2 linked regions of the Callithrix jacchus genome follow. The protein of the gene in region 2 binds, or shares a complex with, the protein of the main gene of each other region. Links are inferred from orthologs where the notes say so. Each region holds a gene or a part of one and is shown on either strand. Other genes may lie near its edges. The genes, in order: TRIB1 and COP1.

Region 1 (15,763 bases), on a different chromosome or scaffold from region 2:
TATAATCCCAGCTACTCAGGAGGCTGAGGCAGGAGAATTGCCTGAACCCAGGAGGCAGTGAGCCGAGATGGCGCCATTGCACTCCAGCCTGGGTAACAAGAGCGAAACTCCGTCTCAATAAATAAATAAATAAATAAATAAAAATAAAAAATGTTTTTTGAGTCTAAATCTAATCCAAAGCACCCACCAACTTGGTGTCACCAAATGGACTCCATCCCATCAAAATAAATCTGCCCACTGGAAAGACAAAAGCAAATGGGTTCAAGTCCGACAAAGGTCACTGTTGATCACCATCAACATGTCTCCTCTTCCACCTTCCCCTTGCTGCCCATCCCCAACCAGATGGTAAGCCCTGAGGCCGGAGACCTTTGCAACCTCTGGGTGAAGCTGCATAAAGCAAAGCAGATTGAACTCGAAAGCAATTCACCACACCTATTTACGAAACCAGATTTATTAAAATTTCTCTACAAGTCAGAAACGGCCATCTCACTGTTCACATATATACACATATGTACAGGAAGAACCTAGTGTTTCTAGCTTTCCCGGCAGAAGCCCCTGCCAACCCAGCGTCCTTAGCCGGATAATGTATCACAGATACAACAGTCGAGCAACCACGAGAGCATTATAGACAGAGGCCTCTGTCCCCACTTCTCCAAGTCCCATGATTCTGTCAAGGTAATATTGCCAATAATCATTCACATTTCACGTGGTTTTAGACACGCAGGTGATTCAGACAGACACAGACAACAAAACAAGCCTCAAAGCCAGAACAAAACACAACAAATCGGACACAGGTATAAAAGGTAAAATGTATTACAAAGTACACAGTACGTGAGGTATACACGGCATTCTCACAATGCATGTTAGTAGTTTGCCTAGGCGTAGCCCTTAAGGATGACTGCCTATGTTTGTGCCATTTCTCAAAATACAGTATGTTTTTGTTTACCCGTTTAACCACCTGATTTCAGCACTGTCCAAGACAGTTACTGATATTTCATCTGAACTTGCTTTTTAATGGAAGTTATAGTTTCTCCATTAAAGCTCTGTCTTTTGGAGGGAGTGAGTTCCCATCTCTGGACGTATCTAACAGAGGCTGGATTCCCACCTACGAAAGAAGCTGAAGGGGGGATTTCTGCCTTGGGAGGTGGCAGAAAGAGGAAAGAGATTGGACCGGATGATTGCTGAAGACCCTTCCAACTTTAAAGATTTGGGGTTTGCTGTTTCGCTCCAGAAGCCGATTATACAGATATATTCATAAACCACACATCTGAAATATCAACAACCCATCATGCAAAACTGCAGTTGCACACACAACGCCAGAGGCGGACCATGTCTGGGAGGGCTTAAGTGTACTTCTGGAAGTTAGTCTGAGAATCAGAAGACTATCCGAAATTCACTCTCTTCAAAGCGCAGAGATGTTTAATGTCTGCTTTTGGGAGAGGTGGGTAGGAGCCTCCTTATCTTCCTCCTCCTAGACAGAACGCTCCACCCTGAGATGGTCTTGGGGAAAAAGTAAAGGGTGGGTAAAAAGGGTAGGTACTAACATATTTAGAAGGAACTTAAAAAGCAAATAGTTTCCAAGCACTCATATTATTTCTTAAAATCTGGAGTCTCTCTGTCTGACCTCAGAGTTCTGAAATCGTGGGGAGGTGGAATCTTTTGCGATGCTGTCCACGTTTGGCTGGTAAGTGCTTTCATAGCTAGAGGGGGAAAGTGTCAAGGTCAGGGAGAAGGCATTAGTGCAGATGTGGTCTTGGCAGGAAACAGAGGAGAGTCTGGGTTCATGGTTCCATCAGCTCCTGAGCAACTTAAAACGGTCTGCTCCAAAAACGGAGCAGAGTCATTGAATGTGAGTGTGAAGAATGGGTGAGTGTTAAATCAAAAAAGGAACCTTCCCGTCAGAGAAGCTGCGGTAGCACGTCTAGCTACCAGAGATGAGTTCAAAGATGGCAGACTGAACGGCCCAATGTGTCACCCTGTTAAAATACGGTTATTGCCCAAAATATGTCATCATACGATCTGCTTTTTCTCCCATTCAAATGCTCGAGTTTATGACACACTTGACCACCGGGTGTAGGATGTCCATACTCCTGCCATCCGTAAAAGGTGCGGAACTCCCAAATCCAGCAGAGAGTTGGCGAGAGTTCCTTAAGAGAAATAACTTTGCAGGGCAGCCAATCACAGCGTATGCCGCTCACATCAGTAAAGTCACTCCTCCCAACAGATAAGAGGTGGCGCCATGCCGAGTTCAGCAGCCTTCATCCTAACGCAGTCATTATCTGGTTGATACCATGCCAAAGGGCCTGTCCATCTTTAGAAATGGAAATACCAGGTGTAAGAATTATGAGGTTTCTGAGGTTTTGGGGATTAGCAGAAGAAGGAACTCATGTCACTGTCCTCCTGGTACTCTGGAACAATCTGGTCTGAAGTTCCTATTTCTGAGTCGATGTACCCAGGTTCCAAGATGGACTCAAACCAGGGGTGCAGTAAGATCTCGGGGGCAGTGAGTCTCTCAGAGGGCTCCCGTCTCAAGAGGCTGCGAATGAGGCACCTGGCTTTGGGGGAAATGTGTTCAGGAATGCAGAACTGTCCACGCCGGATTTTGGAGAAAAGGGCACTGGGGTCCGAGTCATGGAAGGGGTATCGTCCAACCAGAAGGGTATACAGCATCACCCCTAAGCTCCAAACATCCGCAGCCTTTCCAGAGTAGGTCCCGGTGGTGTTGAGGATCTCAGGGCTCACGTAGGCTGGGCAGCCGTGTTTGTCTGACAAAGCATCATCCTCCCCCTTGATGATGTGTGTGTCTTCCAGACTTTCTAGTCTGAGCTGGGTTCTGCAAGAGAGAGGAACCGAGCCATTATTGCCATACCAGCTGCTATGAAAAACAAAGCCTTCCCAATAACAGCGCCCACAGGCACTAACAGCAAAGGCTCAAGGAATGCTATTTACCCCTTCATCCAGTAAGCAGCGCCTGCAACTGCTGGGGACTCGTGATTTCACAAACCAACACAAACTGCAATACATGTTTGCAAAGTATCGACAGAGCGCCTGGGGTGGAGGGTATGATGCAAAGCCCCAAATAGTATTCATAATGCTAGAGCTTACAAGAGATATCCTAATAGGAGTTACACAATCTACTAAGTTCGCATTGCAGAACTGGGAGCTTGTCTCAGGGGAGTGCTGCGTTCTCTACAAAAGCTATCAGGGAAGAGCAGCAGATCTTGCTTCTTCAGGGAGGGCCTGAGCATCCTACGAGCCCATCTTTTCTCTTATGCCGCTAACTGCCGGGGCTCCCTGGACCCACACTGCATTACAGAACACGGAGCCTAAAGTCACTGCTATTACATACACAGGTTTTCAGCGCGGGTGCCCACACTGATACACGCACGCAGAATGAACTTTGTCCACCTAGGCCCAGGCTGTGACAATTATGATGGGAAAGTTGTAAGGAATGTTAATTACATTTATTGGGGTGTTTAACTGCAAAGAACACTTTGCCTGGACAAAGAGGTTATGCCCACAAACAAAAGTATGAGGGATTTCAGGGAGGCAGGGCCCCGGAAATTCTTCTATAGGGACACACACTCCCCTCGACGGCACATTAACATGTGGGCATATTTATTCTACAGGGGCGTCTGTCTTCAGGTAACTACGAAAGTCCCAGAAACCTCAGTCAAAGGCTCTCTTATGAAGCTGCAGGTGCCTCCTGATTCAGAACCAACCACCCATGTCTCCTGGATTCCCCAAAGCCCAAAGCCAGGTGGGAAAGCTCTAATATCTGGTGACACCCTGCCTCTGCCTGCTTCTCTGAAATCGCCCTGTTTCAGTAAGTCACTAGTGAAGTTAAATGCAAACATTTGGTACTGGCTGATGGGTCAATTCCTTTTCCTCTCAAAGGTCTGGTATTTTTTTTTTCTTCCTGCCTTCCTGTTCCCTGGAGTGTAGTATACATGTGCTAACTTCAGTATGTCCTCAGCGTGACCTCCCTGTCGTTATGTAAAATACCCATTGGTTCTGTAAACGGAAAATATGACTCAACCCACACTGTCTCCCCATGATTGGCTGCTACAGCACTAAAACCCTGCACCTGTGCTGGTTACATGAATAGCGTCAGCCTGACATTGCTTAACCCTCAGGTTGCCAAACCCCATGCCCATGACATTCGCCTGTGCAATGCGGATTTCAAAAGCTAGTTAGGAGGTGTGTAAGGCATGTTTCAGAAAGTGCATCACCGTATCAAAGGAGCATATTCTAGGAATTAGAAACTTCTTCACTGCCAACAGTTTGCTTTGCTTTGCTAATCAGTATGTTCCAATAATTATTGCGAGGTCAGATACCAACTCATGCTTTATGACAGCTCAACCCTGTACTGTTTCATATGCTCTGGAATCAAAGGTAAAAATGCACAGGTGAAATAAGCCCACTTCTTACAACAAAATAACTCACTCTCTCACCTCTACAACACTACAGTCTCACTGCTCTTAATCTTTCCACAAGGGATGTGGCCCCGGCTCTTAAAATCAAGTGTGGTCTATCTCATGCGGCTTCCTGAATTCTCTAGTCTGAAACCTCAGCTTTGAATCTTAATGCCTCATTACCCTCTTATCAAGCTCATCTTGTTCTTTATGAGGTAAGCTATGATCTATATTTAGCAATCCATCCTAGCCAACTTCCATTTATCATTCAGTGTGGCTATTTTCTGAAGACGTATCCAAATAAGATGTCTAAAAAGTCACCAGAGAATGTGAAGCGAGTACGGAGGACCCGGTCTGAGATGGGACAGGAATGCAGTGTGAAAGAAGAGGCTGGGAATTCTGCAAACATGACAGTCTCACTAGCTCTGCGAAACCTTCTAGGTACAAAGCAACACTTGGCATAAGCAGATTTGAACACTTCCTTTAGAAGGCAATATTGTAAAGGGCGGTTTAATATTTGTACCCCAAACAGCTGACCTTTCTGATAACAATGGCGAATGAACCTGATCCTGCGGGAGGAGAGGGGAGGGCACCCTGTCAACACGTGCCATCCCACAGATGTGCCACAGTGCCCCCAGGCCCCATCCAAGAGAATGCAGAATAAACCAACCTTGGCTGTGACTCCTTAGGAAAAGAAGCTCTAAATACTAAATCTGGGACATATGAACCCTCGACTTCATTTTGCACCAGCACACAGCACCTAACTACACGACCTGCTCCTTCCATTTGGTTCCAAAAGGCCACAGGAGAAGCCGTGGCGGCCGCTCACCTCTCCTCCGTGGAGAAGACAAACTTCCTAAGCTTCAGGTCTCCCAGTACAATGGCTGACTGGTGGCAGTGGGCGACGGCGGAGACAATCTGCTTGAAGAGCCGAGCGGCTTCCTCTTCCCGCAGCCTCTTCCGGCTTCGCACATAGGAGTGCATGTCCCCAAAGTCCTTCTCAAAGAAGACGTAGGCCTTGGTTTCCCCAAGGATCACTTCCACGATGCCGGTAATGTTGCTGTGTGAGGGCAGCTGGATATAAGGCCTGATTTTGTCCTGGTAGTGTTTAATGGGGAACACCTGCAGAGAGAAGGGGTCCATTTAGAGGTAGAACAGCAAAGGTGGCTCCCAAACCCCTTACCGAGCTGATCCGAAGTTCTCAACCTTTGGGCTTAGGATGTAAGTTCCATTCATCTACTCCCCTTTACCTTCCAAAGCCACAGCGGCTAGCAACGCCTTTAAAACCAGTAACCCCTAGGGCTCTAGAGTTGCAAACACTGAAAGGGTTTCCTGCATTCACACAGATTATTTGAAAGAACTGTCTTCTGGCCGGGCGCAGTGGCTCACACCTGTAATCCCAGCACTTTGAGAGGCCGAGGCAGGCGAATCATGAGGTCAGGAGTTCGAAATCAGCCTGGCCAACATGGTGAAACCCTGCCTCTACTAAAAATCAAAAATTAGCCAGTCGTGGAGAGAGGTGACTGTAATCCCAGCTACTTGGGAGGCTGAGGCAGGAGAATCACTTGAACCCAGGAGGTGGAGGTTGCAGTGAGCGGAGATCATGCCATTGCACTCCAGCCTGGGGGACCGGGCAAGACTCCATCTCAAAAAAAAAAAAAAAAAAAAAAAAAAACTGTCTTATGTACATGTTCCCGTCTTCCATCAGCTCCTGACAGCTAAGCAAAGCCCTCACCCTCACTGGCCCTGCCCTGTTTGCAGGCTACATTCGTGAATGGCTGATAGGACACCCCTGGCATGTCCAGGAACTGAAAAGCGGACCCCAGACATGCATATACATGTGCCTCCTGCAGACCCAACGTGCTCAGCACAGAAAGGGCACAGAAAGTGGTGACTCTGCAGCCTCCAAGGGGAAGCAGGGGCCAGAGAACATGCAGAGTTGTCATTAATCAGAAAGAGCAGATGACTCGGAGGGGGAGGCAGGGACAATGCAGCCTTAAGCAACCTGCCTAGAGTCTGACTCAAGTGTAAGCAGCCTTGAGTTACAATTCTCACAGGAGGGGTAAGGGATCCCGAGAAAGGCTTTTTCATTTGTTTGTTTATCCCCCTCACACACCCGACCCCACCCCTAGAAATGAGTAGTATCTCTTCTCTTCTAGAAAGCTGGCTGGTCCTTTAAAGGCCTTTTGTTTAGTCCAGTTACTCATATCCTAGACTCAACTGGAAACGGTGACACACGGCTGTCACCATCTGGATTCAGCTATTATCTGCTCAGAGGAACTGGAAGGGTTGCACAATGGCCAGGCTCACCCCACCTCTGAGGCCTGGCTGCTCTGGCACCAGCTAGAAAAAGCCCCTGTTGCCCCCTCCTCCCACCCCACCCCATCCCACCACACACACATGCCTCTCCCAGAACAGCTCTTAACCCCGGTCATGAAGAAAAGGGGGGTTTTTTTTTCCGCCTATTCAACTAGGCTTGATCGTGCGTTTGAAATTTCATTAAAGTTGGACAGTAGGTGGCAGCAGCGAGCCCCGGGACAGGGTCCGGGTGTTGGGAGTGTCAGGTGAGTTGCGGAAAACCCAGAAGCGGCTTAACTGGGGGTGATCCTATCTTTCGGGTGAAAAGGAGCAGCCCGAGGGTGCTCTGTGGTGACTCAAACAGGGGTGTCAGGCTCGCAGAAAGTAGACTGTGGGAACCTTCTGCGTCTACAGGCGCAGGAGGAGGACTCGGCGGATCCCATTTCTAGGTGCTGTGTCTCCTCCTCCTGGATGGGATCCCCAGGTTCAAAGGAAAAATCGCTGGCTGGAAAATAAAGTGAATCGAAGCGAGGGTTTCTGGCCGGTGTGGGCTTTCCAACAGTTCTACTCCGCACAGATTCCTCTGCCTCGGGTGGAAGGCTTTGGGACTGCTCCCTTGGGAGGGCGTGTTCTAGTCGCCGCGCGGAGTCAATTCGGAATCCCCAAGGCAGGAGCCGGACACAGTCTTCCAGCCCCCTTACCACCTACAACTAAGCCGGGCAAGAAAGCTACCAGCTGCTTCAAGCTCCCAGGAGGCACCCACTGCAGGGCGTCCTTCCAGGACAAGGCGGGGAGGGGGGGGAGCGTTGCGGGAGGTGGAGAGTGAGGATAATGAGAGAAGGGGAATGGCATGGCCCTGGAATCCATTTCAATTCCACAACTTATATGGAACGCCACGCGCTACCCTGAGACGCTAAGGAAAGGATCAGAGAGAGAAAGCAACTGAACGCTGCACTTCCTCTAGGAGCCCCCTTAACCCACTCCATGGGAAACCGCCCAATCCACAAAAAGGTGAACCTGGTCAAAAGCAGTCTTATCGGACCCAATCCACTGATCCGTCCTGTGCCCAGTTCAAGCGTTGGCCGGACCCCAAGCACCTTTGCCGACCACCCTGTCCCAAGCCTCAGAACCCCGCCGGGTCCTGGCCCGGGAGCGCCTACCTTGCAGCGCAGCTCGCGGCCAGTGTGAATGCACAGGGCCCGGGACACATGCTCGCGCTCGGCTAGGGGCAGCAGCAGGTAGTCGGCGATGCGGCTGGGCCCCGGGGCGCTCCCGGAGCCGCCGCTGGCCCCCGCCGCAGCAGGCGGGGGCTGCGGGGTGCAGGGCGAGCCGGGGGGGCTGAGGTAGTCCGGGGGACTGGAGCACTCGGAGAGGCGCGGGCACTTGGCCGCCACAGCCGCCGAGTCGTCCGCGTCCAGCAGGCGTTTGGCCGGAACACCTCGGGCGGCCGGGAACAGCAGGGCCGGGCCGCGGGGCTGCGAGGCGCCGCTCATGGCAGAGCGCACCGGACCGACCCGCATCCCGTCCCGGGCCGGAGCAGCCCCGGCTTTGTAAGTCCCGGGATCCGCGCGGGAAGGCGCTGCGGGCTTGGCGCCGGCGCCGCGACTTCTTCCACCCGTGGGGATGGAGTTTGCAGATGGGGCTGGGCTCGGCCCCCACGAGGGGCAAAGCAGGAGTCGCTCCCCGGCGTTCGCGCTGCACGCGGGGACCACGCAGGCTGTGAGTCCGGGAAGCAGAGGCCGGCTCGGGTCCCCCGACCCCTGCAGGCAAGGGCTCCGGGAGCCTCGCTGGGGGCGGCCGCCACTATTGTTGCCGAGGCTGCCGACAGACAGTCCGGGAGGCAGAAGCGGCGGCGGCGGCGGCCGGCGATCCCGGCGTCCCGAGCCGCGAGGACAGGACTCGGCAGAGCCACGAAGCAAATGCACTTCCCAAAGCGATGAGTCTCGAGCGCAAGCCGGGGGAACTTTTTCGCGGCGCTCGGGATCCCGCGCGCTCCTGGGCTCCGGGCGTGTGTGAGAGCGAGCGAGACGCGCTCAGAGAGAGTGACTGCGAGTGAGTGTGTGCGCTGCACCGATCCCGGCCAGTGCACTCCTCCTTCTCCTTTTCCTCCACCTCCTCCGCCTCCCGGTGACTCACGCTGTATACACACACACTCACAGGCCGGGCTGTGTAAACAGTTGGGAAGCCGGGTTGTGCAATGAGGTGGCTGCGACGACTCCGGCCCCGCCGCCCGGCGAGCCGTCTCCGGAGCGGAGGGAGGAGACTGGGGGGAGGGGAGGAGGAGCGGGAGTTGGGGGGATAGGGGTGGCCCGAGGGCAGGGGATACTCCGGGCAGCGCACGCTCGGGCGCAGGTGGTGCGCCCCGGGCCAGCCTGGGCGCGCGCACACGCCCCCTGGGCTGGGCTGGGCTGGGCAGCAGGCGGTGCGCGCCCTCCGGCCGGCCCCCGGCTCAGCTCGAGAAGCCGAAGGAGGGGGCGGAGGAAAAGTTCCCGTGACGTCAGGGTCCCGGGAAGTGGGCGGGGGGTGGAGGGAGAAGCGACCGCTGATTGGTGCGCGCGCCTCATTCACAGCAAGCACAATGGGCTGCGGGCGCGAAGCGGGAGCGCGCACCACGGTCCTCTGCACCGGCTGCTCGCTGCAGCCCCGCGGCGACGCCTTTGGCCCCGGGGATCTCCCCACCGCCCAGCGCTTGGGGAGCTCCGGTTGGAGCCGTGGGCGCCGCCAAGGAAGTGGGGGATAGAGAGGTGATGAATTCCAGAATCAGTCATTCACCCCCACGCGGTAGTTCCGGGGAAGACCTGTGCGTGGTAATGGATGTGGCTTTTTTCCCCCCTTTTCCTGCTCCCTCCCAGCTCTAATCCCCAGCGTCTGTTCGCTTCCACAAATAGAACCTTCTGTTGGATGAAAGAAAAGCAAACACTGGGCCTTCTGCGCTGCCTCCACCTCCACGCCCCCCCCCCCCCCGCCGCCCCGCCAATCCCCCGCGCCTGCCGCCCGCCCGGATTGCACGGAAATAGCTTCTCCTGGCTCCCGGGCCGCCCCTTCGCAGTGACTCGCAGAAAGAGCTTCCTGAGCCAGGGCCAGTGGGAAACAAAGGATGTGGGGAGCTGGCGGAAGGGGCCCACGTGGCTGCCGCCGGATTCCTGCTCCCTCCCCAGCCTCCACAAGCGCTGCTGGGTCTAAGTCCTCAGTGCCAACCCGGGTAGGTGGGTAGGCTTGTGGAAGTCCTGGCCACTGCCAGGGATACCGCCTGCAGCCGGGCAGCCCCGCCAGGTGGTGTGCGTGCATTCATGCCGCTTGATTTGGGTGATCATGAAAGTTGTGCATGAAACAACTTGGAATCTGTCGTTTTTCTTTCTTTAGAGAACCATGTCAATCTGGAGTCCCTGGGCACCCAACAATATAACTTATCAGAGAGCTCTTCCTCGCACTTCTGCTAAATACTTAATTTTCTAAAACCAGGTTGAGCCCCAAGAATAAATCATTTTCCTGATTAGTTCTCCATTCAACAAATACTAATTAAGCATCTACTAAAAGCTAAACACTGGGAACCAGAAGATGAAAATTAAAATAATAGGGCCGGGCGTGGTGGCTCACGCCTGTAATCCAAGCACTTTGGAGGCCACGGCGGGCGGATCACCTGAGGTCCGGAGTTCAAGACCAGCCTGACCAACCTGGTGAAACCCCATCTTTAAAAAAAAGAAAATTAAAATAATAATAGCCAATATGAATCGAGGCCTACAATGTGTGAGGACACTATTCTTAGCACTTTACATATATTACTTCAGTTTTCCAACCACACTATGGGGTTATTTTTTGCCCCATTTCACAGGGAAGAAACTGAAGCCTTAGGAAGATGAGTCACTCTAGGTGAGGTGGCTCCCCCCTGTAAACCCAGCACTACGGGAGGCCACGGTGGGTGGATCACCTGAGGTCAGCAGTTTGAGACCAGTCTGGCCAACATGGTGAAATCCTGTCTGCTAAAAGTACAAAAATTAGCTGGGTGTGGTGGGGCACACCTGTAATCCCAGCTGCTGGGGAGGCTGAAATGGGAGTCACTTGAACCCGGGAGGCAGAGGTTGCAGTGAACCAAGATAAAACCAATGCATTCCAGCCTTCAGGACAGAGCAAGACTTAGTCTCAAAAAAAGGAAAGACGAAGTTACTTGCTGAAGTTAAGTAACTCATAAGGGATGGCCCAGCCAAGCTCCTAAGCACTTATGGCGGCTGGAAGGAGAGATTACAATTTGCAGGGGAAAACAGGAGTTAGGGAGGGAGGACTCTCTTTGGAAACCATTTGACCTGGGAGAGGTGCAGGACTGTAAGGGAGATGCTCAAGGGAGGCTATGAGTGGTGGGAGGCCAGGCCAGCCAGCCAAGGGGTGTGAGGAAAGGCAGGGCTGGCAGAGTGGGCAGGCTAGGGGAACTACAATGGTGGTGGGAGCTGAGCCTGCAGGGATCGCCTGGGACAATGTTGGGAAGGGCCTGAAGGCCATGTTGCACTTGGTCCTGTGGCCAGAAGAGAGCCCGCCTCAGGGTGGGTGGGTTGGTTGGTTGGTTTTCAAACAGTCTCCCTCTGTTGCCTATAGGCTGGAGTGCAGTGGCCTGATCTCGGCTCACTGCAACCTCTGCCTCCCAGGTTCAAGTGATTCTCCTGCCTCAGCCTCCCAAGTAGTTGGGATTACAGGCACCTGGCACCCCGCACCTGGCTAATTTTTATACATGTAGTAGAGACGAGATTTCACCATGTTGGCCAGGTTGGTCTCGAACTCCTAACTTTAAGTGATATACCCACCTTGGCCTCCCAAAGTGCTAGGATTACAGGCTTGAGCCACCACGCCCGGCCCCACTTAAGGTTTTTTTGTCTTCGAAGATAATTCTGTGCCAGAATTTAAGATCCACTGAGCTGCCAGTACTTGAATGGCAATGTCAATATGGCCCTGGAGCATCTTCCTCCCCAACGTGTGCCTCCTTCTCTGCCTCTTCTGAGAGAAAGGCATGCCACCATCCACCCAGCCCCACCCACCCGGGGGCCAGAATCACAGGCACTCATTGTAGGTTCCCCTTCAATCTGCCTTTTTCCTCTCTCCCATAGTCTACCCTAGACCTACAAGCTCTCGGTGCTGTGCCGTACCCCGCTCTGTTCAGCTCCCTGGGGCTGGCCCTTGCTAGCTCTGCTTCTCAGGCTCTCTTGCCCATTGGCCTCCAGCCCAATTTTCCCAGTGGGAGGCCCTGGAGGGAGATTGGAAGGCGGGAGGAAGGAGAGAACTACTTTTTGCTTGGAGCAGCCGGCCACACCTCCTCTGGGGCTCCGGGGAGGCAGCCCCTCTGCGTTGCCGCCGGATCCCACTGCCCAACTGGAGAAGGTATCTCCCCGGCTGCTGGGAGTGCTTATCAGGAGCTGTTTCGGAAATGGCCTTGACTGAGAAGAGCCACCTTGCTGGAGTTCACACTCCCTTCCCAAGGGGTCCACATCTAGTGACTGCTGATCATGGGAGAATAAAGGTCCCCTTGTCCCAACTTCGGCCACCTCTCAAAGGCATCCCAGCTTCAGAGCTCCCAGACTGGGTCAATTGAGGCCTTCCTAAAATTGCATCACAGGCCAGCTTTTTCCTCTGCCCAATCCTGTTCCTTCCTGGCCTTCTTCCCATGGTATCCCCTAATAAACCTCCCGCAGGCTGGCCTGCATCTCAGAGTCGGCTTCCTGGGGAGCTCAAGCCGTGGCACCCCCTCTTCATGGTCCAAGCTCACTCCGAGGACTCTGGCTTCTGGGAGCAGGCGAAACCACTTTTGTCCCTCCAGCTGCTTCCAGATGCTGCTAACCTCTGGGTGGCCCCCAGCACCATCTTTTGTTCCGTTTTGTTTCTGCCCTTTCTATACCTTTGTAACTAGTTCTCCACATAAATTCTTTTTTCTTTTTTCTTTTTTTTTTTTGAGACAGAGCCTCGCTCTGTCACCCAGGCTGGAGGGCAGTGGCACAGTCTCAGCTCACCACAACCTCCGCCTCCCAAGTTCAAGCAATTCTCCTGCCTCACCCTCCCAACTAGCTGGGACTACAGGCGTGCACTACCGTGCCCAGCTAATTTTTGCATTTTTAGTTGAGACAGGGTTTCACCATGTTGGCCAGGCTGGTCTCAAACTCCTGACCTCGTGAACTCCCTGCTTAGGCCTCCTCCCAAAGTCCTGAAATTACAGGTGTGAGCCATCACACCCAGCCCACATAAATTCTTTCTACTGAAATTCCTGGCCTGAGTTCCATTTTTCTGCCCAGACCCTGTTTAATAGAAACCCTATCCTTTTCCCACATGCAGACCTCTATAGTCCTAGTTCACAACCTTCCCCTGCATTCCTGCTGTAAGCTCCTAACGGAGCCACTCATTCATCCCTTCAACAAACATTGAGCCCCTACTCTGTGCCAGCACCTACTAAGCTCTGGAGACACAGTGATGCATATAATACAGTATGTCCTGTATAACAAACATTGAGCTCCTACTCTGTGCCAGCACCTACTAAGCTCTGGAGACACAGTGATGCATATAATACAGTATGTCCTGTATCCCTTTGATCCATTCCCACACAGCTGTTAGTCATTTTCCTAAAATCTGAATGTGATCATATAAGGCACTCACCTAAAACCTTGCAGGGAACCCCACCCCTTGATAAAATACAAACACCGAAGTATGGAAAAGTAGGCCCTCTTCCAGGCCCCGCTTCCCTTCCAGCCCGCACCTTTCTCACCTCCTCCCCTCTGTCCTACCCATGCCAGCTCCTGGCAGGGCCCCAAACTCATCAATCTGCCAATTCACACCTCTGCGCTCCAGCCTGTGCTGGTCCCTCCCACTGGAATTCCCTCTCTTCCTTTTCCAAGAAAAGGAACTCTTACTCATCCTTCAAAACACCATCTGGATTTCCCCAGCACCTGCAGTCAGATCTCAGTGTCTTACCAAATGCTGTCGAGTCCTCTGTCAAGCCAATCCCACAACCCTTTCCACACAACTGTGTTCCCAGAGGTCAGGGGTTGTGTCTTGTTCATTCATGTTCATCCAGCCCCCAGCCCAGTGTCCATTATCAAAAAGGGACTAAGGCCAAGCACAGTGGCTCGCACCTATAATCCCAGCACTCTGGAAAGACCAGCCAGGTGAATCACTTGAGGTTGGGAGTTGGAGAGCAGTCTGGCCAACATGGTGAAACCCCATCTCTACTCAAAATACAAAAAGTAGCCGGGGGTAGTGGCAGGCACCTGTAGTCCCAGCTAGTCTGGAGGCTGAGGCACAAGAATCGATTGAACCTAAGAGGGGGAGGTTGTGGTGAGCCGAGATCTCACCACTGCACTCCAGCCTGGGCAACAGAGCTCCATCTCCCAAAAATAAGGGGGGTGCTTAGTAAGTGTTAACCGAATAAATGCACTCCAGGGCAAAGGGTCACCCATAGGAAGAGCCTGAGATGACAGATGGAGAGGAAAAACTGGCCTTCCAACAGAGATGGGGGCTGGAAAGTAGGAGTCGGATTTCAGAGTTCAATGTCTGGCCCTGGAGAGGTAATGGGAGGTGGAGTGTAGGGGCTTAAGCTTGGGGGGCTCCCAGCCTGCATTCAGGGGAAAGTGGACATGGACCTTTGGCAAGGCCTGAGATCAGGCAGGCTGAGGCATAAGTCAGCTAAAATGGTCTTGATTTCTTTACAGAGAGCTTCACTAACAACAAAATCTGGACTGAACTTCCCTCAGACTTTTCACATACTCACTTGAGGAAGCCAGTGGCTCTTTATGAGCCTCGGTTGTGTCACTGGTGAAATGGGCCTAATAATGGCCTAGTTTTCCTCTCCTACGCAGTTTTGTTTTGTTGTGGAGATTGCCCAGGCTAGTCTCAAACTTCTGGGCTCAACCAATCCTCCCACCTCAGCCTCCTAAAGTGCTGGGATTACAGGTGTGAGCCACTGAGCCTGGCCTCCACCCCTGTTACAGGCAAGGTGGCTCATGCCTGTAATCCCAGCACTTTGGGAGGCTGAGGCAGGCAGATCACGAGGTCAAGAGATCGAGGCCACCCTGGTCAACATGCTGAAACCTCGTCTCTACTAAAAATACAAGTATTAGGCAGACGTGATGGCGTGTGCCGGTAGTCCCAGCTGCTTGAGAGGTGAGCCAGGAGAATGACTTGGGAGTGTAAATTAGTTCAACCATTGTGGAAGACAGTGTGGTGATTCCTCAAGGATCTAGAACTAGAAATGCCATTTGACCTGGCATTCCCGTTACTGGGTATATACCCAAAGGGTTATCAATCATTCTACCATAAAGACATGCACACGTATGTTTATTGCAGCACTGTTCACAATAGCAAAGATTTAGAACCAACCCAAATGCCAATCAATGATAGACTGGATAAAGAAAATATGACAAATATATACCATGGAATACTATGCAGCCATTAAAAAAGGATGAGTTCATGTCACATGGATGAAGCTAGAAACCATCATTCTCAGCAAACTAACACAGGAACAGAAAACCAAACATGGCATGTTCTCGCTCATAGTGGGTGTTGAACAATGAGAACACACGGACACAGGGAAGGGAGCATCACACACTGGGGTCTGTTGGATGTGGGAGGCTAGGGGAGGGAGAGCAGGGAGTGAGGGAATAGTGGAGGGATAGCATTAGGAGAAACAGCTAATGTAGATGACGGGGTGGATGCAGCAAACCACCATGCCACGTGTATACCTATGTAACAAACCTGCACGTTCTGCACATGTACCCCAGAACTTAAAGTATAATTTTAAAATGTTTAACAAAAAAAAAGGAAAAGAAAATTCAAATCAACAAATAAGAATATCAAAATAAATAGAATGGAAATGAGGAAGTCATTCTTCCCATATTAAAGGGTCTCTACCAAGGGATGACATTCACAAGCTCCTCTGGTACATTTACGATCAGGCTTGAAAGCTGGAATCATCAATGACCACACATGCGTGTGTGTCCCGCATAGCCTCAGCACAATGCTCAGCTGATACTGGATGCTCAATACATGTCCAACTGCAAGAAAATTGATTTACCTCTGACTTT
Region 2 (15,148 bases):
GACAAACGTTGCATGCTCTAACTTATTTGTGGGATCTAAAAATGAAAACAATTGAAATCATGGACGTAGAGAGTAGAAGAATGGTTATGAGAGTCTGGAAAAGGTAGTTGGGCTGTTGCAGGAGGTGGAGGTGGTTAATGGCTACAAAAAAATACACAAAATGAGTAAGACCTAGTATTTAATAGCAAGACAAGGTAGCTGTAGTTAATAATTTAATTGTACATTTTGAAGTAACTGAAAATATAATTAGATTGTAACATAAAGGGTAAATGCTTACGGTAGATATCTCATTCTCTATGATGTGATTATTCTGCATTGCATGCCTTTGTCAAAACATCTCATGTTCTACATGTGTATATACAAACTATATATTCACAAAAATCAAAAATAAAGTTTTTTAAACAAGTGTAGCACATACAGTTATGTATACTACACAATATTTTATAATCTTGTTTATGCATTTACTTTTTATAATTATAGAGTATTTTCTTATACTTGGTTTTTTTTTTTTTTTAGTTATAACAGCCATATAACAGTTATAACTGTATAACAGCCTAAGGTTGCCCTTCAGGGGACGTTCTAGAAGAAGGCACTGTTATCAGAGAAGATGGCAACTCTGTGCATTTTATTACCCCAGAAGTGCTGTAATTCCAGCACTGGATAAATAAAAGTGCTGGGAAGACAATGTGGCAATTAATCAAGGATTTAGAACTAGAAATACCATTTGACCCAGCAATCCTATTACTGGGTATATACCCAAAGGATTAGAAAAGACAAAACATAAAGGTGAAAACAGTAATATTGATTATTCTGACCATGTGTAGACCAAGCCTAATGTTCTATTTCTTAGTTTTGTGGAGTGGTTTGGGTTTTTTTTTTTGGTGGGGGAGGATGGAGTCTTGCTCTGTCCCCCTGGCCGGAGTGCAGTGGCGTGATCTTGGCTCACTGCAGCCTCCACTGCTTCCCGAGTTCAAGCTATTCTCTGCCTTAGCCTTCCGATAGCTGGGATTACAGGTGCCCACCTGTAATTACACCACCGCACCCAGCTATTAATTTTGTATTTTTAGTGGAGATGGGATTTCACCATCTTGGCCAGGTTGGTCTTGAACTCCTGACCTTGTGATACACCTGCCTCCGCCTCCCAGAGTGCTGGGATTATAGGCATGAGCCATTATGCCCAGCCCTATTTCTTAGTTTTTAACAAAAGAGTTTAAAAAGCTTTTTTATCTTAATTTTTTTAACTTACAAGGATATATAAAAAGGAAATACTTTGTACAGCTGTAAAATGTATGTGTGTTTTAAGCTAAGTGTTATAACAGAGTCAAAACGCTTAAAAAAAATTTAAAGTTTATAAAGTTAAAAAATTACATTAAGGTTAATTTATTACTAAATGAAGAACACTTTTTTACAGTAAATTTAGTGTAGCCTACATACACTATAATGTCCTAGGCCTTCATGTCTATTTACCACTCACTAACGCACCCAAAACAATTTTCTGTCCTGCAGACTTCATTCATGGTAAGGGCCCTGTATAGGTATACCATTTTTTATCTTTCATATTGTATTTTAACTGCACCTTTTCCATATTTAGATACTACATAAATATTTCCCATTGTTACAGTTGCCTACAGCATTCAGTATAGTAACATGATACATATGTTTGTAACCTAGGATCAATAGGTTATTCCATGTAACCTAAATGTGTAGTAGTCTATACCATCTAGATTTGTGTAAGTACACTGTATTATGCTCACACAATGACAAAATTGCCAAATGATACATTTCTTAGGATGTATCTCCATTGTTGAGCAATGCATTATTGTACTTACTGTTCAGCATCTCAAATCCAAAATCTCCAAATGCTCCAGTGAAGCATTTGGAGATTTGGAGCTCTGATTGTCATGTTGGCACTCCAGAAGCAAGGATTTGGGATTTTGGGGTTTCAGATGTGCAACCTATTAACAATTATATTAAATGTACGTATGTTGAACATTGTAACTTTCAGGGATTGGCAGAATGGGTTTACAAAAAAAAGTTAGAATCCAACTATATGCTGTCTACAAGAGATAGACATTAGACTTACAGACACAAATAGGTTAAAGTAACAGGATGGAAACAGACATACCATGTAAGTAGTAATCAACAAAAATGGTAGAATGACTGTATTTCTGTCAAACAGAATATACTTAGAGTAGAAATTGGTCTTAGAAACAAAGACATTTTATAATGGTAAAAGGATCAATAGTGAAAATATATATCAATTATCAATACACCTAAAAAACATTTTGTGGCTATATGAAAAGAAAATTCACAGTATTTTAAGGAAAATAAATAATTTGACTGAAGTTATGGAAAACTAGAATACTTCACTTTTGATTTTTCATGGCAAAACTGGACAAGAAATCAGCAGACTTGAATCACTTTGTCAACCTGACACAACAGACATCCATAGACCACTTCATCAGTAGAAGAACACACATGTTTCTCCAGCAAGTGTTAAACAGTCTACAGGAGAGACCGTATTTAGACCGAAAAGAGTCAATCAATTCAAAATAATTGAAGACATACAAAATAGTTCTCTGACCAAAATGGAATTAAATTAAAAATCAACAATAATAGTTCATTTGGGACATCCGCAATTATTTGGAAATTACATGACACATTGCTAAATAACTTGTTAGTCAAGAAATAACAAAGGAAATGTAAAAGGTTTTTAAACTGAATGAAGATCATATCATAATTTGTGGTATCAGCCGAAGCAATGTTTATAGAGAATTGTGTATTCTCAAGTGTCTGTCTTTAAAAAGAAAAACAAAGCTAACTGAAGACAAGCAGAAGTAAGGAAATAATAAAGATTAGAGTAGAAATTAATGATATAGCCAAAAGAGAAATGATAGAAAAAATTGTTAAAACTCGTAAGTTGATTCTTTGAAAAGATTAGCAAAATTGACAAACCTTTAGCTAGACTGAGGAAAAAGAGAAAACACAGCTAAAGTTAAGAATGAAAGATGACACATGACCACTGACTCACCTTTCATAAATTAAGAGTTATAGAAGTATACTCTAAACAACTGTATGCCAACTTAGTAGTTCAGTAACTTATTCAGTTATAAAACTTACTCAAAACATAGATGGAGTAAAAAATTCCTAGAAAGGCACAAATTAGCAAAACTAACTTAAGAAATAGAAAATCCGAATAGACCTTTGATGAGTAAAGAAATTGAATAATAATTAGCAGTCTACCCAAAAAACAAAACCGAGGTTCACATGGCTTTACTGGTGAATTCTATCTAATATTTAATGAAGAAATAATACCAGTACTTCACAAACTCTTCCCTGAAACCAAAGCCAATGATATCACCAAAATAGAAAAACACAGACCAATATTCTTCAAGAGTATAGGTGAAAATGTCCCCCCAAAAAATCTGCTAACCACATCCAACAGCACAAAATATATGTGTGTTGTGTGTGTGTGTATACACAAACATATATGTACACACACACACACGAAAACAGAATTTATACCAGAACTGCCAGATTTAACAATCAAAAATCAGTTATGTAATTCATCCTGTTAGTAGAATGAAAAACTAAAACCATGCAAACATATTATCAGAGACATAGAAAAGGCTTTTGACAAAACCCACACCGATTGATAGTAAAGATTAACAAACTTGGCATAGAGGGAAACTGGAAAATTTCCTCTGCCTGATACAGAGCTTTTCTGAAAATCCAACAGTAAGGTCATACTTAAATGGTGAAAGACTGAATGCTGTTCTCCCAAGATCAGCAATACAAAGGATTTTTGCTCTTACCTCTTCAGCATAGTAGTAAAGGTTCTAGCCAATACCCTAAAGGCAAGAAAAGGAAATAAAAGACATTTAGATATGAAAGCAAGAATTAAAAAATCCTATTCTACAGATAACATTATTTTATGTGTTGAAAATTTTAAGAAATGAATTTTAAGGAACTTTTAGGATTAATAAAAGTGTTCAACAGAGTCATTGAGTAAAAGATCAATATACAAAATCAACTGTATTTCCATACATGAGCAATGAACAATCCAAAAATAAAGAATATGATTCAGAATAACATAAAAAAGAATATAGAAGAAATTTAACAAAATAAGTGTAAGAGTTATACACTGAATATTACAAAAGAAACTTTTTGAGGAAAATTAAGAAGATGTAAACAAATGGAGAGATATTCTATAATCATAGATTGGCAGACCCAACATTGTTTGCCAATTCTCAAGTTGATCTACAGATCCAACTTAGTCACTCTGAAAATTTCAGTGGGTGGCAGGGCACTGTGTCTCATGACTGTAATCCCAGCACTTTGGGAGGCTGAGTTGTGGGAATCACAAGGTTAGGAGTTTGAGACCAGCCTGATCAACATGGTGAAAACCCATCTCTACTAAAAATACAAAAACTAGCTGTGAGTGGTGACATGCACCTGTGATATCAGCTACTCGGGAGGCTGAGGCAGGGGAATCACTTGAACCCAGGAGGATAGAGGTTGCAGTAAACAGATTGCACCATGACACTCCAGTCTGGGCAACAGAGCGAGACTCTGTCTAAACAAACAAACAAAAATTCATCAGGCTTTTTTGCCAAAAAATACTAAAATTTATATGAAAATGCTAAAGACCAGGGGAGCCTAAACAATTTTGGAAAAGAACAACAGAGTTGGAAAATACTTCTTCCCAATTTAAAAACTTAAAGCTAGAGTTATCAAGACAGTTCGTACTAGTAGAATGGTAGATGTATATAGATCAATTGGTTAGAATTAATAAACCAAAAGTAAATCCTTATTTATCATGAATTCATTATCAGCAGAGGTGCCAAGGAAATTCATTCAGTAAAGGACAGTCTGTTCAACAAATAGTGTTAGTAAAACTTGATGTAACGTCACAGCCTTAAATGCAAGAACTAAAATAATTTTAGAAATAGGAGAAAATCTTTAATACCTTGGATTAGTCAAAGATTTCTTGTTTGCAACATAAAAAGTGTGGTCTAGTAAAGAGAAAAAATGAAATTTCACATCCAAGATTCAAAACTTTTATTCTTGAAAACATACCATTCAGCAATTATAAACAATAGCAACAGAATGTTTGAAAAAAATTATAGAACATACATCTGAGAAGCGTCTTGAATTCAAATATTTTTAAAAATTCACGTAAACTGGAACCCTCATGTGTTGCTGATGGCAATAAAGAATGATGCAGTAAACAGTCCATTTCTTAAAACGTTTAATATTACCATGTGGCCCAATAACTACTCTTCTAGGTATCTACCCAAGAGATATGAAAACATGTCCACATAAACACTTAATTGTGATTTTTCATGTCAGCATTATTCATAATAATAAAAAAATGGAAACAAATGTTCATTACCTAGTTAGTTGATTGACAAAATGTGGTACATTCACATGGTGGATACCATTCAGCAATAAAAAAGAGCTGCTAACACACATTGAAAAATAGTTGAACCTCAAATCAGAACATTATGCAACATGTAAGAAGCCATACACAGAAGCTACATAATATTTATATAAAGAATTTATAGAGACAGACAGGAATAGAGGTTACCTATGACAGTAGATGGCAAATGAGTGATCTTAATTGGAATGCAAAAATCTTCTAAAACTGATTTATGGTGATGGTTGAACTGCTGGTAAAATTTAGTAAAGACTGTTGAACTACATACAGTATTTTCAGCAAGTGTATTTTATTATATGCAAAATATATCTTAATAATCGTTTTTTAAGGCAAATGTGGGAAATAAGATTATATAGCATTATGTTTATCCACATGTCCCAATGTTTATATTAACATTTTTTAATGAAACCATTAAAACATAAAGATTGATTTTTAAGTTGTCTATTATTTTGAACCCCTGTTACTCTCTTTTTAAAGCCAGTCTTATTTTTTGAAAAGGATTTCTTTTCCAGTTTTCTGGCTGTTAGAGGTTAGATATTATATGTGAAACTTTTAATGAAAAAAAAAAACAGTTAAAATTAACTTTACTTTCCATTTCTGTATTTACTGCATTTATCTAATTTTGTTTTGTTTTAGATCACTGTGTCCATTACTATGATCTTCGTAACACTAAACAGCCAATCATGGTATTCAAAGGACACCGAAAAGCAGTCTCTTATGCAAAGTTTGTGAGTGGTGAGGAAATTGTCTCTGCGTGAGTATTACTCTATTCAGAGGTTGAGCTTAATACAGAGCTCTGTACTTAACTTACCAGTTTGTAATGTCACTGAGGGTGTATGTAAAACTATAATATTGGAGTATATGTACTTTTCTTAAATAGTAGATTTTTGATGTCTTGTTCAATTAAAAATGTTTGGGTTCAGGTCTGTATTACACACTTTTATGTGTAATTTGTGGATAAAATCTGAAGATACTAGCTATTTATATACCTCCCCCCTTATCTAATCTTCATATGTTTAATTGCATTTGAACTTCGGATTACATTTTAGCTATTGCTTCTCAAGAAGAGATAAACAACATAGTCGATGGAATGGAATGAGAAGTATTTTATTTATTAAAGTCAACTAATACTACATATTTTATCTACTTACAGTATAGTCATAGAACTATTTTTGGTTTTAAATATCACTTGGTTGGCTTTTACACTGACATGTTCATTTCTCTGTGATTTCATGGTGAGCTTTTTTTTTCTGGGACAGATTCTTACTTTGTCACCCAGGCTGGGGTGCAGTGGTGTTGTCCCAGCTTACTGCAACCTCTGCCTCCTGGGTTCAAGTGATTCTCCTGCCTCAGCCTCTCCAGTATCTGGAACTACAGGTGCATTCCACTACACCCAGCTAATTTATGCATTTTTAGTAGAGACAGGGTTTCACCATATTGGCCAGCCTGGGCTCGAACTCCTGACCTCTGGTGATCCACCTGCTTCAGCCTCCCAAAGTGCTGGGATTACAAGTGTGAGCCACCATGCCTAGTCAACAGATGAACATTCTAACTCAGTCTGGCTCCAGAGCAAACTGTATTGATTCTAATTAGCAGTGTTGAGTTTCGTGACAAGAAATTTTAACTATGTTCTTACTCTTTGTACTTTTCCTCAGCTCAACAGACAGTCAGCTAAAACTGTGGAATGTAGGGAAACCATACTGCCTACGTTCCTTCAAGGGTCATATCAATGAAAAAAACTTTGTAGGCCTGGCTTCCAATGGAGATTATATAGCTTGTGGTAAGTGAAACCATCATTTCCAGGAACTTTTTAACAGGTATTTGAAATTCAACTCAATGGAAATAGACTAAATACTAAGGAAAAGGTCTGTGCACTCAGAAGATAGTATAATAGGCTTCATGCCCCAGCACTATTGATTTTCCTCGTGTAGTACTAGAAGAGCATTAGTCCTTCTCTTTTTTATTGTGTACAAACCCTGAACACCTGAAATAGCACAAAATTTTTAACTGTTTTACTGTCGTTCTCTATTATAACATATTCTTTAGATATTGTTTAGGAGACAGAAAAGATTAAGTTCTGTGAATAATATTTCCAATTTTGGAGACGTTATATGTCTTCTAAACTTGATATTCATTTTTCCCTATCTGCTGTTCTCTTCATGAAGTAATCTATTTGCTTAGCATTGATCTGTTATTCTAGGACTTTTATTGTTGATAATTTATACAAATTTAAATAAGAAGTAGAAAAATGAAATTTGATATTTGAATGCTCTGATATGTCTAATGCGTGAATATATGAGCTTTGATCATTACTTTTAAATGACTTGGTCTTTATTCAGCACAGTTTACTTTCTCCAAGTATGTATGAGAATGCCAAAGCAAATATCTGCAACAATTCTCCTATCTTAATAGATGGCTCAAAATTACAGTTCATAGACCATTAATAGAATAATTCCTATACTGAGAAATGGAAATAAATTGTGTATGCTGTTAAAATTTGCCTATGTAAGTGCTGCCACTTCCTTTTACCTCTCTAAATGGAAATCTTTCTAAATATAATTTAAGATCCTTGCTGTAATAACATATTTCTGATTCTACTATAGGCTTATTATCAGGTAGGTACAGAAGCAATTAAAAGTAATGACAAAAACCACAATTACTTTTGCATCAACCTTATAAATGATTTTATAGGGTAATTTCAGCCTTAAAATTATCAATATTATTATACCATTTAACACTGATTGTTTCTTTAGATTAGTAAAGTATACTTTTGTCCAAGAATCCTTTTCTTACATAATTTCTAATTAGTCCTGTGATCTAGCCTTTCAAATTTGCCCATAAAAGATCTTTGACCTAAAACTTTGGGTGATAATTTCTATTGGAATGTGATGTTCTAATTCCAAGTTTTCCTATTCTAAAATATTATTATTGTTTATTTTCAGGAAGTGAGAATAACTCTCTCTACCTGTACTATAAAGGACTTTCTAAGACTTTGCTAACTTTTAAGTTTGATACAGTCAAAAGTGTTCTGGACAAAGACCGAAAAGAAGATGATACAAATGAATTTGTTAGTGCTGTGTGCTGGAGGGCACTACCAGACGGGGTAAGTTTTCATATTGCTTTTTCCACCTTGGAGTCTCATATCATGCATTATGAATACACAGGGTTTAATTAAGTTTTAAAATATAAATTGCTGTGTGATATGTACTTTTTTTTTAAGTTTATATATAATGTGTCACCAAAGACAATAGTCATTTTTAGGTAGTGATTGAAATGCACAGTAATAGAGCAATGTCATGGTGTCATTGTGTCCCTCTGTGACCCGTAGCATCTAGTGTATATCTCAGTTATAACCATTATCATATTTTCTCTTTATATCTCTTCTATAAGACTGGAAGTTCCTCCAAAATATATACTGTCTCATCTTCTTTATTGATTATGTGCAGTATATGCTGGATAAACATTAAGCTGAGCTGGTATGTTAATAAGAAGAAAAAGAATTGATCTAGGTAAAGGAGAGTGGCCTCTATGTTCCTCTAATTAAATACTATTTCAAAGTAGAATTACTCTCTATAAAATACATTTATATACAAATATTTAAGCATGTTAAGTTTCTTAATGAGAAAATTATACTACTGGGTTGTATAAAGAGAAGTTGCCTTAAACTTTACTGTTACATTTTAAAGTGTAGGGTTTTCCATAAGTTGTATGAAAAACTAATTTTTGTTACTATCTTGATTTATATAAACATGAATTGTTAGTATCGTATTTTTAAAATAGCTTTTTACATGCTTAGTTGGTTTCATTTTTGACAAAGAAATTCTGACTTGATATGTAATTTTAAAATTCAAATTTCAGATATAGTTTCACTTTAATTAGATATATTCTATTGCTGGGTCCATTTCCAGTTTTGCTAATTGACATACTAGAAAATTTGGACCAACTCTTCCTCCAAGTAGAATTAGAAAAGTAGGACCAAATGTATGTATTTTATAAACAGGAACCTATTTGAAAGCATTAGAAAGCACACAAATACAGGAAAGAATGACCAGATTAGGATTGTGGCTTTTGAATCTGCTTTTCCCCTGTGATCATTTGTCAGTTTTGGTGGGGTGGGTGAAAGCACTTATATTAGCTTCACAGGGTTGCAGGGACTGGAGCTCAGCACCTGTCATTGTATGGTTGACTACTTTAATCCCCAAATGGATATAGTATAGGGGAAACCAGTAGAAGATAAGCCTTCATAGCGATTGCATCTAAACTGCATATCAATCTCTGAAATTGAATTGAAGTGACCCTTGATTGGTAATATCCACTGGATGCAAACTTAAATCCTCTCTGAACAAAGATAAGATAATCTAAGGGCTTAACTTATTTTTTTTCAGTTTTGTAACTACAATAACTAGGGTACAATCAAAAATAAATAGACACAGTAAAAGATAAGACAGCATGAATTAAACCAGCATAAGCAACAGGCTATAGAAAATAATATTGTCTGGTAACTCCAATATTTAGAGCTGCTGTGACTCTAAATATTGGAGTTATCAGACAGCTTGAAAGTAATTATGCGTACAACTTGAAAGACAAGACTGAAAATTTTAACTGAGAACTGGAAATAATTTTTAGAATGAAAATTCTAGAGTTGAAAAAAAATTACAAAAATTAAGAATTAGTGGATGTGTTGAATGGAAGACAAACTAAAAATAAGAATTAATGAACTGATAGGTAAATTAGGAGAAAATACACACATGGAAGCATAGGAAGACAAAATGATGGAAAAGTACAGATGGCAGATAAAGGATCAAGTAAGAACCTATAACATATTCAATAGGTGACCTACCAGGAGACAAGAGAAAGAATGCAGCTAGAGCAAATATTAGAAGGGATTATTGTTGCTTTTCGATCCGCCATCTGCGCCTCACGTGGGGCCGCCACCAAAATGCAGATTTTCGTGAAAACCCTTACGGGAAAAACCATCACCCTCGAGGTTGAACCCTCGGATACGATAGAAAATTTGAAGGCCAAGATCCAGGATAAGGAAGGAATTCCTCCTGATCAGCAAAGACTGATCTTTGCTGGCAAGCAACTGGAAGATGGACGTACTTTGTCTGACTACAACATTCAGAAGGAGTCTACTCTTCATCTTGTGTTGAGACTTCGTGGTGGTGCTAAGAAAAGGAAGAAGAAGTCTTACACCACTCCCAAGAAGAATAAGCACAAGAGAAAGAAGGTTAAGCTGGCTGTCCTGAAGTATTACAAGGTGGATGAGAATGGCAAAATTAGTCGCCTTCGTCGAGAATGCCCTTCTGATGAATGTGGTGCTGGAGTGTTTATGGCAAGCCACTTTGACAGACATTATTGTGGCAAATGTTGTCTGACTTACTGCTTTAACAAACCAGAAGACAAATAACCGACTTAATAAAAGACATGAACTAAAAAAAAAAAAAAAAAAAAAAGAAGGGATTATTGTTGAGAACATCAGTTGATCTGTGATACCAAGGCAGAGATTCAGTAAGCCTTTCAACTGCAGAGAAGGAACGACTAGAAATCTACAGTGTGATTGAAGGTAGAACATCATACTGAAACTTTGAACATACGTAGGCCTGCCTGAAAATCTGACCTTGGGTCCGACTTCTTATAGCGCTATTTCCTTGTAAACATCCTGAGTTAAGAGAAATATGGAATGTTATATGCCAGGAACTAGCTATCTCTTAAATTTACTAAGAAAACTTACCTGCGACATCACACCTGGACTGAGTGAGAGAACTCTGAATTGGCATAAGGGCCCTACATCTATGAAAATTGAATAGTGTAAGATTGGCAGGTAACCAGGGCACATCTGTGGATTGAGGTAAACCACATGCATCTCAACTGTCTCTGGCAATAGTGAGTACTCTTCGTGTATGTGGGGGAATGATTGTTTGGCCTCCTTAAGAGTTTTAAGATACTGTGTGCTAAATTCTATCCTGTATCCTTCTATAAATCTAACTGAGGGCTAGATTAAAGCCTCTTGTATCTGATCCTATGACCTCTGCCAGTGGTAGGATTGGTCACACCTTGCAACACAGTAAAATTGCTGAAAATAGCTAAAATACAAAGAGAGTGTATTAGTCAGTTTTCATGCCACTAATAAAGACATACCCAAGACTGGGCAGTTTACTAAAAAAAAAAGAGGTTTATTGGACTCACAGTTGTGGCTGAAGAGGCCTCACAATCGTGGCGGAAGGTAAAAGGCATGTCTCATATGGCAGTAGACAAATAGCTTGTGTTCCCTTTTTAAAACCATCAGATCTCATGAGACTTACTCAATATCATGAGAATAGCACGGGAAAGACCTGCCCCCATGATTCAAGTACTTCCCACAGGGTCCCTCCCAAAACACATGGGAATTAAACATGAGATTTGAGTGGGGACACACCCAAACCATATCATTTCACTCCTGGCCCCTCCCAAACCTCATGTCCTCACATTTTAAAACCTATCATGCCTTCTCAACAGTCACCAGAGTGTTATTTCAGCTTTAACTCAAAAGTCCAAAGTCCAGCAGCTCATCTTAGACAAAGCAAGTCCCTTCTCCCTATGAGCCTGTAAGATCAAAAGTAAGTTAGTTAATTCCTAGATACGATGGGAATGCAGGCATTGGGTAAATACACCCATTCCAAATGGGAGAAATTGGCCTAAACAAAGGAGCTACAGGCCTCATGAAAGTCCAGAATCCAGTGGGGCAGTCAAATTTTAAAGTTCCAAAATGATCTCCTTTGACTCCATATCTCACATCCAGGTCATGCTAATGTAATAAGTGGGTTCCCATGGTCTTGGGCAGCTCCACCTCTGTGGCTCCCAGGGCACAGCCTCCCTCCTGGCTGCTTTCACAGGCTGGCATTGAGTGTCTGTGACTTCCAGGTGAATGGTGCAAGCTGTCAGTGGATCTGTCATTTTGGGATCTGGTGGATGATGGCCCTCTTCTCACAGCTCCACTAGGTGGTGCCCCAGTAGGGACTCTGTGTGAGGGCTTCAACACCGTATTTCCTTTCTGCACTACCCTAGCCGAAGTTATCCATGAGGGTCCCATCCCTACAGCAAACTTCTGCCTGGATATCCAGGTGTTTCCGTACATCCTCTGAAATCTAGGCAGGGGTTTCCAAACTTCACTTCTTGACTTCTGTACACATGCAGGCTCAACACCACATGGAAGCTGCCAAGGCTTGAGGCTTGCACCCTCTGAAGCCATGGCCTGAGTTCTATTTTTTCCCCTTTTAGTCATCACTCGAGTGGCTGGGACATGGGACACCAAGTCCCTAGGCTACACACAGCATTGGAACCCTAGACCCGGCCCAAGAAGCCACATTTTTCTCCTAGGCCTTCGGGCCTACTATGAGTGGGGATGCTGTGAAGACCTCTGACACAACGCTGGAGACATTTTACCCATGGTCTTGGGGATTAACATTTGGCTCCTTGTTACTTATGCAAATTTCTGCAGCCAGCTTGACTTTCTCTCCAGAAAATGGGATTTTCTTCTCTGTCACATTGTGAGACTGCACATTTTTCAAACTTTTATGCTGTGTTTCCATTATGAAACTGAATGCCTTTAATGGCACCCAGGTCACTCTTAACGTTTTTTCGCTTATAAATTTCTTCTACCAGATAGCCTAAATCATCTCTCTCAAGGTCAGAGTTTCAGAAATTTCTAGGGCAGGGGTAAAATTCCACCAGTCTCTTTGCTAAAACATAACAAGAGTCATCTTTGCTCCAGTTCCCAACAAATTCCTTATCTCCATCTGAGACCATCTCAGCTTGGATTTCATTGTCTATATCGTTATCAGCATTTTGGTCAAAGCCATTGAACAAGGCTTTAGGGAGTTCCAAACTTTCCCACATTTTCTTGTCTTCTTCTTAGCCCTCTAAACGGTTCCAATCTCTCCAACCTCTGCCTGTTAACCAGTTCCAAAGTCACTTCCACATTTTGAAGTATCTTTTCAGCAGCCTCCCATTTCTGGTACCAATTTACTATATTAGTCCATTTTCACACTGCTGATAAAGGCATACTTGAGACTGGATAATTTATAAAAGAAAGCGATTTATTGGACTCACAGTTCCAAGTGGCTGGGGAGGGTTCCTAATCATGGCAGAAGGTGAAAGGCACGTCTCACATGACAGCAGAAAAGAAAAGAAAGCTTGTTCAGAGAATCTCCCCTTTTTAAAATCATCAAATCTCATGAGACACATTCACTATCACAAGAACAGTTTGGGAAAGACCTGCCCTCATGATTCAGTTACCTCCCACTGGGTCCTTGCCACAACATACGGGAATTTAAGATGAGATTTGGGTGAGGACACACCCAAACCATATCAGAGTAGTCTTTTTCATTCCTTTAAACCATCAATTTCTTTTCCTTTTGGCAAATAACTGTATTTGTGGAGTACAATATGATATGTTCATGTACATTATGAAATGATTAAATCAATCGCATTGTGAGGCTGCAAATTTTTTGAACTTTTGTGCCCCCTTTCCCTTATGAAACTGAATGCCTTTAGCAACACCCAGGTCACCTCTTGTATACTTTGCTACTTAGAAATTTCTTCTACCAAATACCCTAAATTCTCTCTCTCAAGGTCATAGGAATGAGCATATCTATCTTCTCACATACAGATTCTTTTTTAGTGGGAACATTTAAAATCATATTCTCTTAACAATATTGAAATATCCATTATACTATTATTAACTACAGTTACTCTGCTATGCGTCTCAAAAACTTTTTTTTTTTTGGTCTAATTAGCTGAAAGTTTAGAGCCTTGGGCCAACATTTTGGCATCCTCCCACTCCCATCCCCCGCCTCTGGCAACTACCATTCTATTCTCCATTTCCCTTGAGTTCAACTTTTTAAGATTCCTCATATAAATGAGATCATGCAGTATTTCTTTCTTTGTGTGGTTTATTTTACTTAGCATAATGTCCTTCAGGTTCATGTAAAGCTGAATAGTATTTCATTATTTATATACAGTTTAACCTTGAATGACATATGGGGGAAAGGGGCACTGACCTTCCACACAGTTGAAAATTTAGGTATAATTTGATTCTCTGACCCAAAAGCTTAACTACTAATAGCCAACTGTTGATTGGAAATCTTACCAATAACATAAATTGATTAACACACACTATATACTATATTTTTACAATGAAATAAACTAGAGAAAAGAAAATATTAAGAAAATCACTAGAGAAAATATATTTACTATTCATTCAATGAAGTGAATCATAAAGATCTTCATCCTCATTATCTTCACATTGAGTAGACTGAGAAGGAGAAGAAATAGGTGGGTTGGTCTTTCTCTGGAGTGGCAGAAGAAGAAGAAAATTTGCATATAAGTGGATCCTCACAGTTCAAACCTGTGTTTTTCAAGAGTCAGCTGTATACCACATTTTTTTATCCATTCATTTGTTGATAGGCACTTAGGTTGATATCTTATCTTTGCTATTGTGAATAATGCAATGAATAAAGATTGCACATGTTTTTTCAGTGTCCTAACACATTTTCTTATCCATTCATTTGTTGATAGGCACTTAGGTTGATTTCTTATCTTTGCTACTGTGAATAATGCAATGAATAAAGAGTGCACATGTTTTTTCAGTGTCCTAATTTCAACCCTTTTAAAATTGAAGTGGGATTCAATGCCCAGAAGTGTGATTGCTAGGTCATATTGCCATTC

The links.
Region 1: the proteins of COP1 (region 2) and TRIB1 are in contact, whole or in part, in a crystal structure (PDB 5IGQ), measured with the Homo sapiens proteins. The link is inferred for Callithrix jacchus from reciprocal best matches to the Homo sapiens genes COP1 and TRIB1. Residues at the interface, in NP_071902.2 of Homo sapiens: Ile423, Ser425, Val441, Lys472, Tyr491, Trp517, Asp534, Ala556, Asn557, Cys559, Ala576, Asp577, His578, Lys600, Ala601, Ser603, Thr618, Lys643, Asn644, Phe645, Phe699; in NP_079471.1 of Homo sapiens: Asp355, Gln356, Ile357, Val358, Pro359, Glu360, Tyr361.

What each region holds. Positions count from the first base shown.
Region 1 is NC_133517.1:71,930,922-71,946,684, forward strand, and holds TRIB1 (tribbles homolog 1), read right to left. Parts: upstream 8,792-15,763; 5' UTR 8,234-8,791; coding exon 7,874-8,233; intron 7,426-7,873; exon of another isoform or gene 6,151-7,425; intron 5,538-6,150; coding exon 5,245-5,537; intron 2,834-5,244; coding exon 2,368-2,833; 3' UTR 436-2,367; downstream 1-435. UniProt on the Homo sapiens protein: Adapter protein involved in protein degradation by interacting with COP1 ubiquitin ligase. The COP1-binding motif is masked by autoinhibitory interactions with the protein kinase domain.
Region 2 is NC_133519.1:27,160,254-27,175,401, forward strand, and holds part of COP1 (E3 ubiquitin-protein ligase COP1), read left to right. Parts: intron 1-6,076; coding exon 6,077-6,194; intron 6,195-7,095; coding exon 7,096-7,220; intron 7,221-8,382; coding exon 8,383-8,543; intron 8,544-9,620; exon of another isoform or gene 9,621-13,613; intron 13,614-15,148. UniProt on the Homo sapiens protein: E3 ubiquitin-protein ligase that mediates ubiquitination and subsequent proteasomal degradation of target proteins.